Linked DNA regions of Sus scrofa. The protein of the gene in region 3 interacts with the protein of the main gene of each other region in a biochemical or structural test. Links are inferred from orthologs where the notes say so. Each region holds a gene or a part of one and is shown on either strand. Other genes may lie near its edges. The genes, in order: CHML, APPL1 and RAB5A.

Region 1 (3,751 bases), on a different chromosome or scaffold from region 3:
TTTGCTTTTTAGAGCTGTACCTGTGGCATATGGAAGTCCCCAGGCTAGGGGTTGAATTGGAGCTGCAGCTGCCAGCCTACACCACAGCTCACGGCAACGCTGGATCCTTAACCCAGTGAGCAAGGCCAGGGATTGAACCTGCATCCTCATGGATACTAGTCAGGTTTGTTACCAGCGAGCCACAATTTTCTAGTTGGCTTAGAAAATTCCTTCTGATTGGGGTGGGACCAGAGCAGGGATGATGAGAGAGAGAAAAAGGATGGAAAAGACGAGGAGACACATCAGGGTGGGGCTGCAAGATGGAACGGATGAGGAAGAGGGGGACGTTGGTACCAATAAAGACCCCAATACACTCGTCTCCAAGCTCCCGGGCACGGAGCTGGAATAGAAACAGAATTTACCAGCACAAAGTCTTTCTTGTAGATCAGAACTTTCACGTCTGTGACCCAGTATCTGCCACTGAGGATATGTCAGGCTCTGCATGAACGGCCCTCTTTAAACCTCAGCCTTGCCTGAACACTGCCGGCAGGCATCAGACATTAATATAAAGAGTGCAATCTACTGCATCTATAGCAACACCTACACACACCTATAGCTTCCTCCCAGGTTTCAAGTCTTATATAGTTGAAGTTCTCAGATTAATGTTTATTGGGAAAGGGTTGGTATTATTAGAATATCAGAATCACTGAGGCCATCAAATAAGTGAAATTATGATTTCTACGACATTTTCTTGTTTCCTGCAAAATATAAAAAAAGAGGGCTTCCCATTGTGGCTCAGCAGGTTAAGAGCTGGACGTAGTGTCTGTGAGGATGCGGATTCAATCCCTGGCCTGGCTCAGTGGGTTAAGGATCTGGCAACGCTGCAAGCTGTGGTGCTGGTCGCAGATGAGGCTTGGATCCAGTATTGCCTGGCTGTGATGTAGGCTGGCAGCTGCAGCTCTGATTCAACCCCTAACCTGGGAACTTCCATAGGCCACAGGTGCAGCTATAAAAAGGGAAAAAAGAAAAAAAAAAATATATATGTAGGTATGTATTAAGGAATCATAACATACATAATATTTGAGTTTGTTACCACATAGGTTAGTGATTATCAATATTTTGATAATGCTACAAAGGTTTTGCTCTTCTAAACCTGTTAAGATAAAAGCAGTAATAAATTATTAGGGATTTTAGGACTTTTTAAAAGGAAACTTACGACCTGAGAAATATACATTTCTATTTCAAATCTTTGTATAAGTGAAACTTCTGGACCACACACACAAAAATAGTTTCTTTCCCAAGCTTGGAAAAATCACATCTTCAATGACACGTTGGGTAGCTCGTCCTTTGAAATGTCAATCTCAGTGAGATTTAAATCTTCAATAGGAGTAAGAGTAGTTTTTTAAAAAATTTCAGGGAGTTCTCGTCATGGCGCAGTGGTTAACGAATCCGACTAGGAACCATGAGGTTGCGGGTTCGATCCCTGCCCTTGCTCAGTGGGTTAACGATCCGGAGTTGCCATGAACTGTGGTGTTGCAGACGCGGCTCGGATCCCACGTTGCTGTGGCTCTGGCGTAGGCCGGTGGCTGCAGCTCCGATTAGACCCCTAGCCTGGGAACCTCCATGTGCCGCGGGAGCGGCCCAAAAAATAGCAAAAAGACAAAAAAATAAAAAAATAAAAAATTTCAATTAACGATCAAGTTCTAGTTTAATGAAATCTACTGGCTGCATAGCTAATTATCTGTCCATTTCAGTAGGGGTTCTCTGAGCCATTTTTGCAATCTCGCCTTATATTTTGGTGTGGTGGAACCTATAAGGAGGAAAATATAGTAAAAATAGCTTATAGAGCACAATTTGCATTCTGAGGACCTGAATAAAACTATTTCACTTCCTAGAAAGCAAAGGTTTACAACTGATAATGAGCATTTTAAAAAAAAATTTACACATTGTTGCTATGTCAGATTTCTACCTCTCATTTTAGCAAAATAATATATGAATTAAATCACTTCTCATCACCCTCTCCAAGTTTCACAAATACTACCACTTTTTTTCTTGAAGTTCTTGACTTCACCCTCTCGTTTCTTTCCTCAAAGTGTCAAAACCACTGTCTCGGGCCCTACTGAATTAAATCAGGAGGTGAAAGCAGACAAGTGAGATGAGCTCCCGAGCAGGTGATTGAGGAGCTGCGGCAGCAGGCTGGGGTCTGGGTGGGCGAGGGGCCTGGGAGCACGGGGAGGGGCGGAGATCAGCGAGCGAGGAGGACCGGTGGAGGGAGTGAGGTCTGGGAGCGGATGAAGTGAGGCGGGGAGGCCGGAGGAAGAGATGTCGAGGCGGGGGAGGCGAGGTCAGGAGAGCACAGCCTCTAGGTCGGGGCGCAGAAGGAGGCGGTCTCCGCCGGCACTCACCCTACAGGCTGCTGATGAAGCCGTCTCACGCACCATCCGCGCCGCCCCTCTGTGGGGCGCGAAAGCCACCGCGGCCGCGAGAACGGAAGGCAGCAGGTGGCGGAGGCTAACGATGAGCAGGGGGCGCCCGGCGAAGCGGGGCTGCGGAGCCGCTGGAATTTGAAGTAGAGGACGAGCAGCAGCAGGATGCTTCCGGCGCAGCAGTGCCCCGCACCCGTAGTCGCCCCGATAGGCGGCGTGAGGGCCCCACGGCGCCCTCGCCGCCCCGCCACCTCTCTGGGTGTGCACGCCAGGCGCCGGCGCGCACCGCTCTGGTTGGGGCTCTGCGCGGGGCTCTGCGCACTCAGAGGTCCCCGTCGCCCCTTTCTGCCCCTGCGCAGACCGCTGACGCCGCTCGTAACCCCGCCCCTTCCCGCCCTGTAGCCCCGCCCCTACCCCCTCCCTACCGTAACCCCGCCCTTTCCCTCCCTGTAGCCCCGCCCCTACGCCCCTCCCAGCCGTAACCCCGCCCCCTAGCGCCCTGTAGCCCCGCCCCGGAGCACCTCCCAACCTTAACCCCTCCCCTGCTCGCTGTCCAAGCTGCTTCCTGATTCGCCGGGTCCTCTCCCCACGCCCTGAGGTCCCCAGTAACCCGCCACCGCCGGCACAGTCCGTGGGGGCCTGGAGGCAAAGCATCGCCGGGGGCTCCTCTCTCCGCAGCCCTCCTCACCCAGCTGGAAGGGCTCTCCTCTTTCCCCACTCACTCCCTCATTAAGGACCATTTATGGCAGGATCCTTTGGCTTCTCCCTCTCCGGGAAGCTGTTACTACCCGCTCGCGTACTGCACACTTGAGGTAAGCCCCGGCTGCACCCCAGGCCTGCTCATTTTGCCCTTGCTGTCCTCCATGCAGGGGCGCTGTGGCGACTGAGGCGGCGCCCTCGAGCTCCAGCCCACATCTCGCAGTTGCAGAGAGGTGGGTGCTATACCTGGGGCAGCACCTCTGGCCTTTTACCCAGTGAAAATAGAGGGCAAGGCAAGCATAGGTCCCGGAACTGACCGTAGTCTTTGCGGGGTGCACAGTCCTGAGCTGGTCCTACAGGCTGTCCTGGGCGCCGCTGGCCAGCACTGTGCCTGTGCAAGGGCGAAGGAACTGCCCTCCACGAGGGAGTGTGTCTCCCACCTCCATTAGAAGATCCCTAGAAAATTGCTAGCTTCACTGAACCCCGGTTTTGTGGGCCTTGGAGATATAATCTAATTGTCAAGACAAGGTTACTTCCTATCATGGTGCATGGAGCAATAGCTGGTGATTTTTTCTTAAGGCTTCCGATCTGGACTTGTCCTCTAGGGGACTCACCCACCCAGTCCTTTTAAAAACTCTAATTTTATA
Region 2 (3,751 bases), about 32 Mb from region 3:
TGGCTTCTTATAACCCTACAGAAGAACAAACAAGGCAGTGTGAGGTTGGGAAAAATGATAAAGAGGCAGATCTAATACAGATCAAGTTCTAGAGTGGAGCTTCACTTTTCTCTCCTTTAAAAAAATTAGAGGCTGAAGAAGCGATCTAAAGATTCTTCCAAAACTTTAACAGAAATGCGAATCAGTTATTAACATAATAAACCAGTGTACCTTGATTTTCAAGAGATGCCTTCATTTGTGATTAAAAAAGTAAATAAATAAAGTCTGAATTGCGGCGTGTCAGCCTCTCAAGGCCAGGTAAGAACCGATGAACTAGCAACAAAGGCGTGCTCTTAACTGAAAATACTGATACCCAAGTGCCCAGAAAAAAAATCTTTTCTACTGTCCAAGAATTACCGGGAAGTCAGGTTGACACAACTTCAGATCTCCCAGACATCTGAGTTAGCCAGCACCATTTTGTTGGAGAAGGGAGACTGGAAGCTTGGGGCAGGGTTTGTAAAATTATAATTTAAGGAAACTAAAGAAGGCGCCGGCAGTGAGGCCTCCTTCATGGTCTCTGATGAAAAATGGTGGGGGATACGTAAAACTGCCCTAGGTTCCCGACTGTGGTCCTCACTCTAGGTTCCTAGGGACGCACGGGGAAGACTGTCTACTACACTTCACACCCCTACGCGAGCAGCCAGGGTAGGTGCTCGAGGTGTGCAAGCTGCTCCGCTTTCGACCCCTCAGCGCCGCCTTTACCGCCTCCACCGACTCCACTGTCTCCTAGGCCCGTGATCTGCGCAGAGCTCAACGCGGGGGAGCCTCCCTCCAACCCCCCACGCTGACCGACATCGCCGCGAACCAATAAGCGAGTGGGGAGGTGGGGCAGGCAGTCCAAGGGGGCGGGATTTCCCTCACCGCCGCGAGGCCTCTGGGCGCCAGGCGAGGGCGGCAGAGCCAGCTAGAGAGGGCGGGTCGGGGTCAGCTGCTGAAGGCAGGCGGGCGTAGGGAGCTGTGGGCGGTCGCCGCGTCTCCTGCCGCCGCCCTCCCTCCCTCCCTCCCTCCGCCACGATGCCGGGGATCGACAAGCTGCCCATCGAAGAGACGCTGGAGGACAGCCCGCAGGTAAGGCGCGGGCAGCGGCGGGCGGCGAGGGAAGGAGCGGGGCCGGCCGACCCCAGGCCTGGCGTCTACGCGGCCGCAGGTGCCCGCCCTGGTCCAGGTGGGCGCCGTCCCCCAGTGTTCCCGCTGGTCGCGGGCCGCGCCCGGAGCCGCCGAGCCAGAGCCGTCCTCCCGAGGCCCGTCTCGGCCTGCGCCCCTAAGCCGAGAGCCGCGCGCGGGGTCTGGGACGTCCGCGGGCAGCGACTGAGCCGCCGTCGCCTTGGCTCGTGGGCCCGGCGGTCACGTACGCCCTCGGGGCTCCCTTGTATTTGACAGAAGGTGCTTTTTTGTCGCCGTCTTGTGAGGTGATAAATCTCAATACTGGTATTTTCCCCCGAAAACCTCCTCGGAGAAAATGCAGAAAAGACCCTGTAGACTTCATGGTTTCTGACCAAGCTAGGGGAGGAAATGGATAGTTTTTCTTGGGGAGATGCTGAAAGACTCTTGATTTGCCGGTGTGGAGAGGGCAAAGCCGGTCACGGGTCCCAGAGCCTCCCGTGGCCGTGTCTTGGCGGTGAGTGTAGCCGCTGTCACTCGGGCTGTGCACGCCGAGTGATGGACGGCGCCTTTGAGGCTCCACCACTGCTGCGCCCTCGTTGCAGACTTGGCCCTAATCAACTCATCAAAATAAAAGCCCTGTGTTTTGTGCTTTGGGGATGATGCTAGTGCGGTTGCTGTAGTTTAAAATAATCTAGGAAAACATAACCATTACTTAATGTTTTCGGTACTGAAGAATGAAATCAGCTATAGTAAAAACATGTTATGTTGGTGGGGCCTGTAACTTGCATTGAGAAACTTATCGCTAGGCCTGTCTCTTACACAGTAGGGGTTTAAGATGATGTTGCTGTTTGGCTACCACTTAGAATGAAGAAAATTTTCTGAAATGTTGTTCCCTTAGAACTGCAGTTGCACATATTTCTCGAGTCTTTGACAGTTTAATAGGACTCGAAAAGAAGGGGAGGAAGGGACTAGATCCCCCTTTTCCTGTATGATACGTCTGCCATGGATATTGTGCTAGTTTTGATTGCCAAGTTGAAGTTGGGTTCTGATTGTGGAATTGATTTGTTTTTTTCACAGCGAAAGTTATCTTCACAGACCAGTTGACTGCTGGTAATGTACTCTTATCCGCCTATGTTGACAGAGAGAAACCCACTTCTTGACTTCCAGAATAGATGGTTCAAATGCTTCATGATTTCTGTAGTATAAAGTTATAAGCTACATTTGTTTCAAATGTTTAGCAGAAATTTTATGGGATGTATTGGTCAGGTGCACTTTGTCATTTTATTTTATAAGACTCAACAGGTTGCCTTGCCTTTTTTCTCTTACCTGGCCTGGTTTTTATAGCTCATAAAGACTACAGACTACTCAGAATGGGTTGCACAGTGCCCTAGCCATGACTTAGGAGGGTGTAATCTCTTGACTCATCTAATTTCTTGAACTCTTCACACAATTAGTTTACAATTTGAGCATTAAGTGTTTTCCTTCTTTTATAAGCATGTGCCATATTGGTATTAGTTTTATGGTAATTTTTAATGAGATAGCCACATTGGTATTCTTTTAATTTTAGGAATAATAAATTTGAACTTAATATTTATTTGGGAAATTAATTGGGACGGCTGTGGTTTAGAAAGGGAAGCAATTCTTGGGGCAAAATAGAACACCCTGGATTCAGGATATAAGGGTTTTAGTCTTTACTGCCACTTAATACCTTCTGTTTTAGAGCAAGTCACTTAACTTCTCTGAACCGCAGCTGTTATATAGATAGTAAGTATTTTAATCCCTGTACCTGATTATAAAAATAATAGTTGTTTACTTCAGAAAAATTGGAAGGTACAGAGAAGTTACCTGTCATGTACCCAGCAGCAAACTGTTAACAGTTTGCTTTCTTTTTTCTAGTTTTTTTCTGTTACACATTTTAATGTGATTGAAATTATATTATGCATAACAATTTTTATTTGGCTTAACATTGTAGCTTAAGTGTCTTCATACATTATTACAAACTGAATAAAAATTTTAAAAGTTGCATGTTTCCTTGACTATTTTCAGTCAGTTGTCCTATTGTTGGTCTTAGAGAGTTTTCCTCAAGTTTTGCTTTTATATATAGGGCTGAGATTAAAACTTCTGGACATAAGGTTTTATTCTCATCTGAACTATTTATTTAGGACAGAGTCCAAGAAGTTGCGTAATAACTAATAACGAAGAGTAGGAAAACTTTTTAAAGCTTCTGATTAGATTATCTGATCCTAATCAAAAGTGGTCTGTGAGTTGCTATGTAAAAAATTAGAGCCTGGGAGTCATGAAAGACTACCCTGGATTACATTTATCCTTTTTTAGTTTTAATTTACAGAACTAAGTATTAAAATAGGAGTATATTTGCAAGTTCAAATCCAGCTGATCAAACATAAACATTTTTAGAATTATCTTGCCCAAACCGTACCATTCTGCAGAAGTCAGCATCTATGGAAGTAGAAAATCTTAAAACTGTACTAGATGCCTTGTCCATGCTTATATATTGTTCTGAAAACCAGAAACAAAATGATACTTTCTAATTAGTAGGAGTGGATATGATCTTTAAAAAAATATTTTATAAAAAGAATAAAATACCTAG
Region 3 (3,751 bases):
TTAAGTAGAAAGTAATGACACCTTTAATTGTTAGCCTCAAAACTACAAAAAAGTATAAGCAAATAAGACACCGATGAGCTCACCATTTAGAGAACTACTGTTAATACTTGCATGTATGATGTACCTGAGCACATGAGAAAACAGGTTTAAGTCCTTTAGCCACCAGCCACACAAACCTGAGAGACTTAGAATATTTGTTGCTCCAGAGTTAATTAAACAAAAAAATGTACCATTAAAACAAAAAAAAAAAGTGCCGTTTAATCTTCAAATAATGATGGTCAACATTTATTGAGATCTTAACTGTGTTCTAGAATTTTACTTAAAACTTTTAACCTAAGTGTAGTTCCAGAACCTGAATTCTTGAGTCATCTCTCAGGTTGCCTGGGTTCGAAACTCAGTTCTGTTGAAGCTCTGTCACAGTAACTATATGACCTCAGTCAAGTTACTCAACCTCTCTGTGCCTCTTTTCCTCATTTTTAAAGATTGTAATAGTCAACTTTATGGGATTGTTGAATGGCAGTATTAAGTACTTAAAACCATTGGACACAAAGTTGAGTCTTTAAGAAAGGTTAGCTTTAAAATTTTTTTAGAGACTTGAAAATTTTAGGCTCAGACCTTATGCCTTTGCATTATTTTCTTTTCATTCTTTTCTTTTTTCTTTTTGACTGCACCTCCACAGCTTGTGGAAGTTCCCAGGCCAGGGATCAATTCCATGCCACAGCAGCAGCCCAAGCTGCTGCAGTGACAATACCGGATCTTTAACCTGCTGCACTGCAAGGGAACTCCTACACTATTTTCTTAACAAAGGGAGAGAATTAAAGTAAATGGCATTCAGTGTTCAGTAAAGGTTATAATTGTCATACAATAATATAGCCAAAATTTACTACAGTGATTAATAATTAGATTTGTTTTGCTGATTTGTATATTTAATTACTTAATATTTGTTTCTTTTTAGGTTTCTTTACCTCCAGAAAGAAAAAAATTGTCACCTTGCATCCTGGAAGTTCATATAAGAGACTGAAGTTAGGGACTTGTTTCACATTTGGACATGGCTAATCGAGGAGCAACAAGACCCAACGGGCCAAATACTGGAAATAAAATATGCCAGTTTAAACTAGTACTTCTGGGAGAGTCTGCTGTTGGCAAATCAAGCCTAGTGCTTCGTTTTGTGAAGGGCCAATTTCATGAATTTCAAGAGAGTACCATTGGGGGTGAGATTTTCTTTTATCCTTTCTTAATTTAATTGAATCATACATTGACAAATAAAATTTTGCAGTAAGATGATGAGTACCTAAATAGATCACAGTGAAGAAAAGACCTGTTCAGCAGACTCAAGCTTTATGACTTGATTTTTATTAATGTTTTTTAATATTTGAGTTCCTGGTTATCCATGGGATGGTTGTATGGAAACTAAAATATAGATGCAGACATGAGTAGAATCAGTTTTACAAGTGTAGGATTTGATCTGTTGTTTTTCTAGATAATGATTAGAAGCTTCTTCAGATTAATACGTTTATGCTGAATTATATTGTCTTTAGAATAAATAGTGAAAATAGGAGTTCACGTCGTGGGGCAGTGGTTAACAAATCTGACTAGGAACCATGAGGCTTCGGGTTCGATCCCTGGCCTTGCTCAGTGGGTTAAGGATATGGCGTTGCCATGAGCTGTGGTGTAGGTCTCAGACGTTGCTTGGATCCCACATTGCTGTGGCTCTGGTGTAGGCCCGCAGCTACAGCTCCAATGAGACCCCTAACCTGGAAACTCCATGTGCTGCAGGAGTAGCCCTAGAAAAGGCAAAAACACAAGAAGAAGAAGAAAAAAAAGAATAAATAGTGAAAATAGTAAAAGTCAGTGTTAAAATTCTAATTCTAAATGGACTATTTATAAGTTACGATTATTTGTAAAATTAATTAAATTTTATTAAACCCGTTTAAGAATTCTAGGGCAAGGGAAGAGAAAAAGTGATCGATGGAGACAGACTGAAAGGGAAGTGGGGCCTGGAAAGAAAGATGAAAGAAGAGGGGAAAGAGGTGGTTGTAGCTAGACTGAGGTGAGGGGAGAGGGAAATGCAAGACAAAGAGGAGACAATTCACAGTGCAGCATTGTCAGTAGAAGACAAGAAGTTAGAGTGTAACCAAAGAAATACACAACTGTATATAGCAGTGCAGAATAGTCTCATTTGGCCTCGAGACTCATCTGTCAAATGATGCTTTTGAATTAGATGATGTCCGAAGAAACACAGTTTTAAGACTTACAATATTTTGTAAGGAAGGGATGTGTAATTAAGCAGTACTATATTTTTTCAGGTGTTCATGAATATACTTCATACTTTTTAAAAAATCAGACTTTTGAAATACATTAAGACAGATAGCCATGGGCATATAGCAACTCTTTGGAGTCCATATCTCAGAAACATAACTTTATGCTGTGCATTGAATGTATGTTCTCAAGTACGTAATGCTTGAGAATTTATAGTTTCAGATCTTCCCAGTAAGATAAATTATAGAACTCTGCTGTCTCCTGGCTTTTCCCTACATATAGAAAAATATACCAGATAAGTGGTGTTTTCCCTAGATTCAGCAGTATAATAGTGGCTGTCAACCCCCTGCATTTGTATATCCCATTGCCGTGTGATCCCCGTTTAGTTTGTTTTTATAGTAGATGAGCATTAAAAATATATATAGTCCATATGGCACAACTTTTATTTTGAGTCAGAAATCTTGATATTTTAAAAAATTATAATGAACAGCATATCACACATTCTTTGTGATTTCTTTGGTAATACAGTTGTGTGTACATATATATATATATCTGTTTTCGTAATGAAATATTACTTCACAAGCTTTAGTCTCCTTCAGAAAACAGATTGGGCCAAAGCTATCTAGCCCTTATAGTGGAAAGAGTTTTAAAGACCTTAAGGTTATATCTACCACCTTAAACTGGTGCAACAAATTAGTTATTATAACTGTTTCTTGGCAAGTGATTGTCAATTGCAGCATTTTCCAAAGTTCATATGCGCTATAGGCTAAATACCCAGACCAGATATGTTTGAGACTTGCTATGTGCTTACCTCCTTGCTTCATAGTACATACTAAAATAATAAAACACCGAAGTACTATAGTAAACAATTCAATTCCTGGGAAACTATGCAGGAACCTACATTAGAATTTTTGTTTTTGTTTTGGATACTCCCAAATTATCTTCTAAGTATATTTTTTCCTAATGACTTCTCAAGAAAGACATTTAAAAGAAAAGTTTAACTCCTTATCAATGCATCATCACAAAAATACTCATATCCTCTGATATGTGTGTTGGGGGGGTGTATAATGAGATAGTTGGAATCTATACATACATATATATAATCTCCATTTCCATTTAATATCAATTAGAGTGTCTGCATTTCATTAGGAGACTGTCAGAGGTTTTCATTCTAACACAAAACTTCCCTAATATTTTCTACTTGTACAGATTGAGTCTGACTTTTTAAACCAACTTTAAAAGAAATTTATATCCAAATTTCTATGTTAATGGTTGTTGGATATTTGTTCACTATGTTGACCACATATTAATACCTTCAGGAGGTATGATGATAGTGTCATGATAACAGCTGTGAGCCTTGGTTTTTTGTTTGTTTTTGAGATATAATTGGCATAATACTGTGTAAGGTATAAGACATATTGATTTGATTTATTTACAAAGTGAGCACTGTTTTAGGCTCTTTGCTAGCAACTCTTCACTGTTAAGGACTAGA

What was found.
Region 1: the proteins of RAB5A (region 3) and CHML form a complex in vitro, tested with the Homo sapiens proteins (2 studies listed by BioGRID). The link is inferred for Sus scrofa from reciprocal best matches to the Homo sapiens genes RAB5A and CHML.
Region 2: the proteins of RAB5A (region 3) and APPL1 form a complex in vitro, tested with the Homo sapiens proteins (2 studies listed by BioGRID and IntAct, with this or other methods). The link is inferred for Sus scrofa from reciprocal best matches to the Homo sapiens genes RAB5A and APPL1.

Annotation. Positions count from the first base shown.
Region 1 is NC_010452.4:11,834,500-11,838,250, reverse strand, and holds the start of CHML (rab proteins geranylgeranyltransferase component A 2), read right to left. Parts: upstream 2,780-3,751; 5' UTR 2,385-2,779; intron 1-2,384. UniProt on the Homo sapiens protein: Substrate-binding subunit (component A) of the Rab geranylgeranyltransferase (GGTase) complex. Binds unprenylated Rab proteins and presents the substrate peptide to the catalytic component B.
Region 2 is NC_010455.5:39,088,104-39,091,854, forward strand, and holds the start of APPL1 (DCC-interacting protein 13-alpha), read left to right. Parts: upstream 1-1,053; coding exon 1,054-1,107; intron 1,108-3,751. UniProt on the Homo sapiens protein: Multifunctional adapter protein that binds to various membrane receptors, nuclear factors and signaling proteins to regulate many processes, such as cell proliferation, immune response, endosomal trafficking and cell metabolism.
Region 3 is NC_010455.5:6,907,932-6,911,682, forward strand, and holds the start of RAB5A (ras-related protein Rab-5A), read left to right. Parts: upstream 1-1,048; coding exon 1,049-1,211; intron 1,212-3,751. UniProt on the Homo sapiens protein: The small GTPases Rab are key regulators of intracellular membrane trafficking, from the formation of transport vesicles to their fusion with membranes.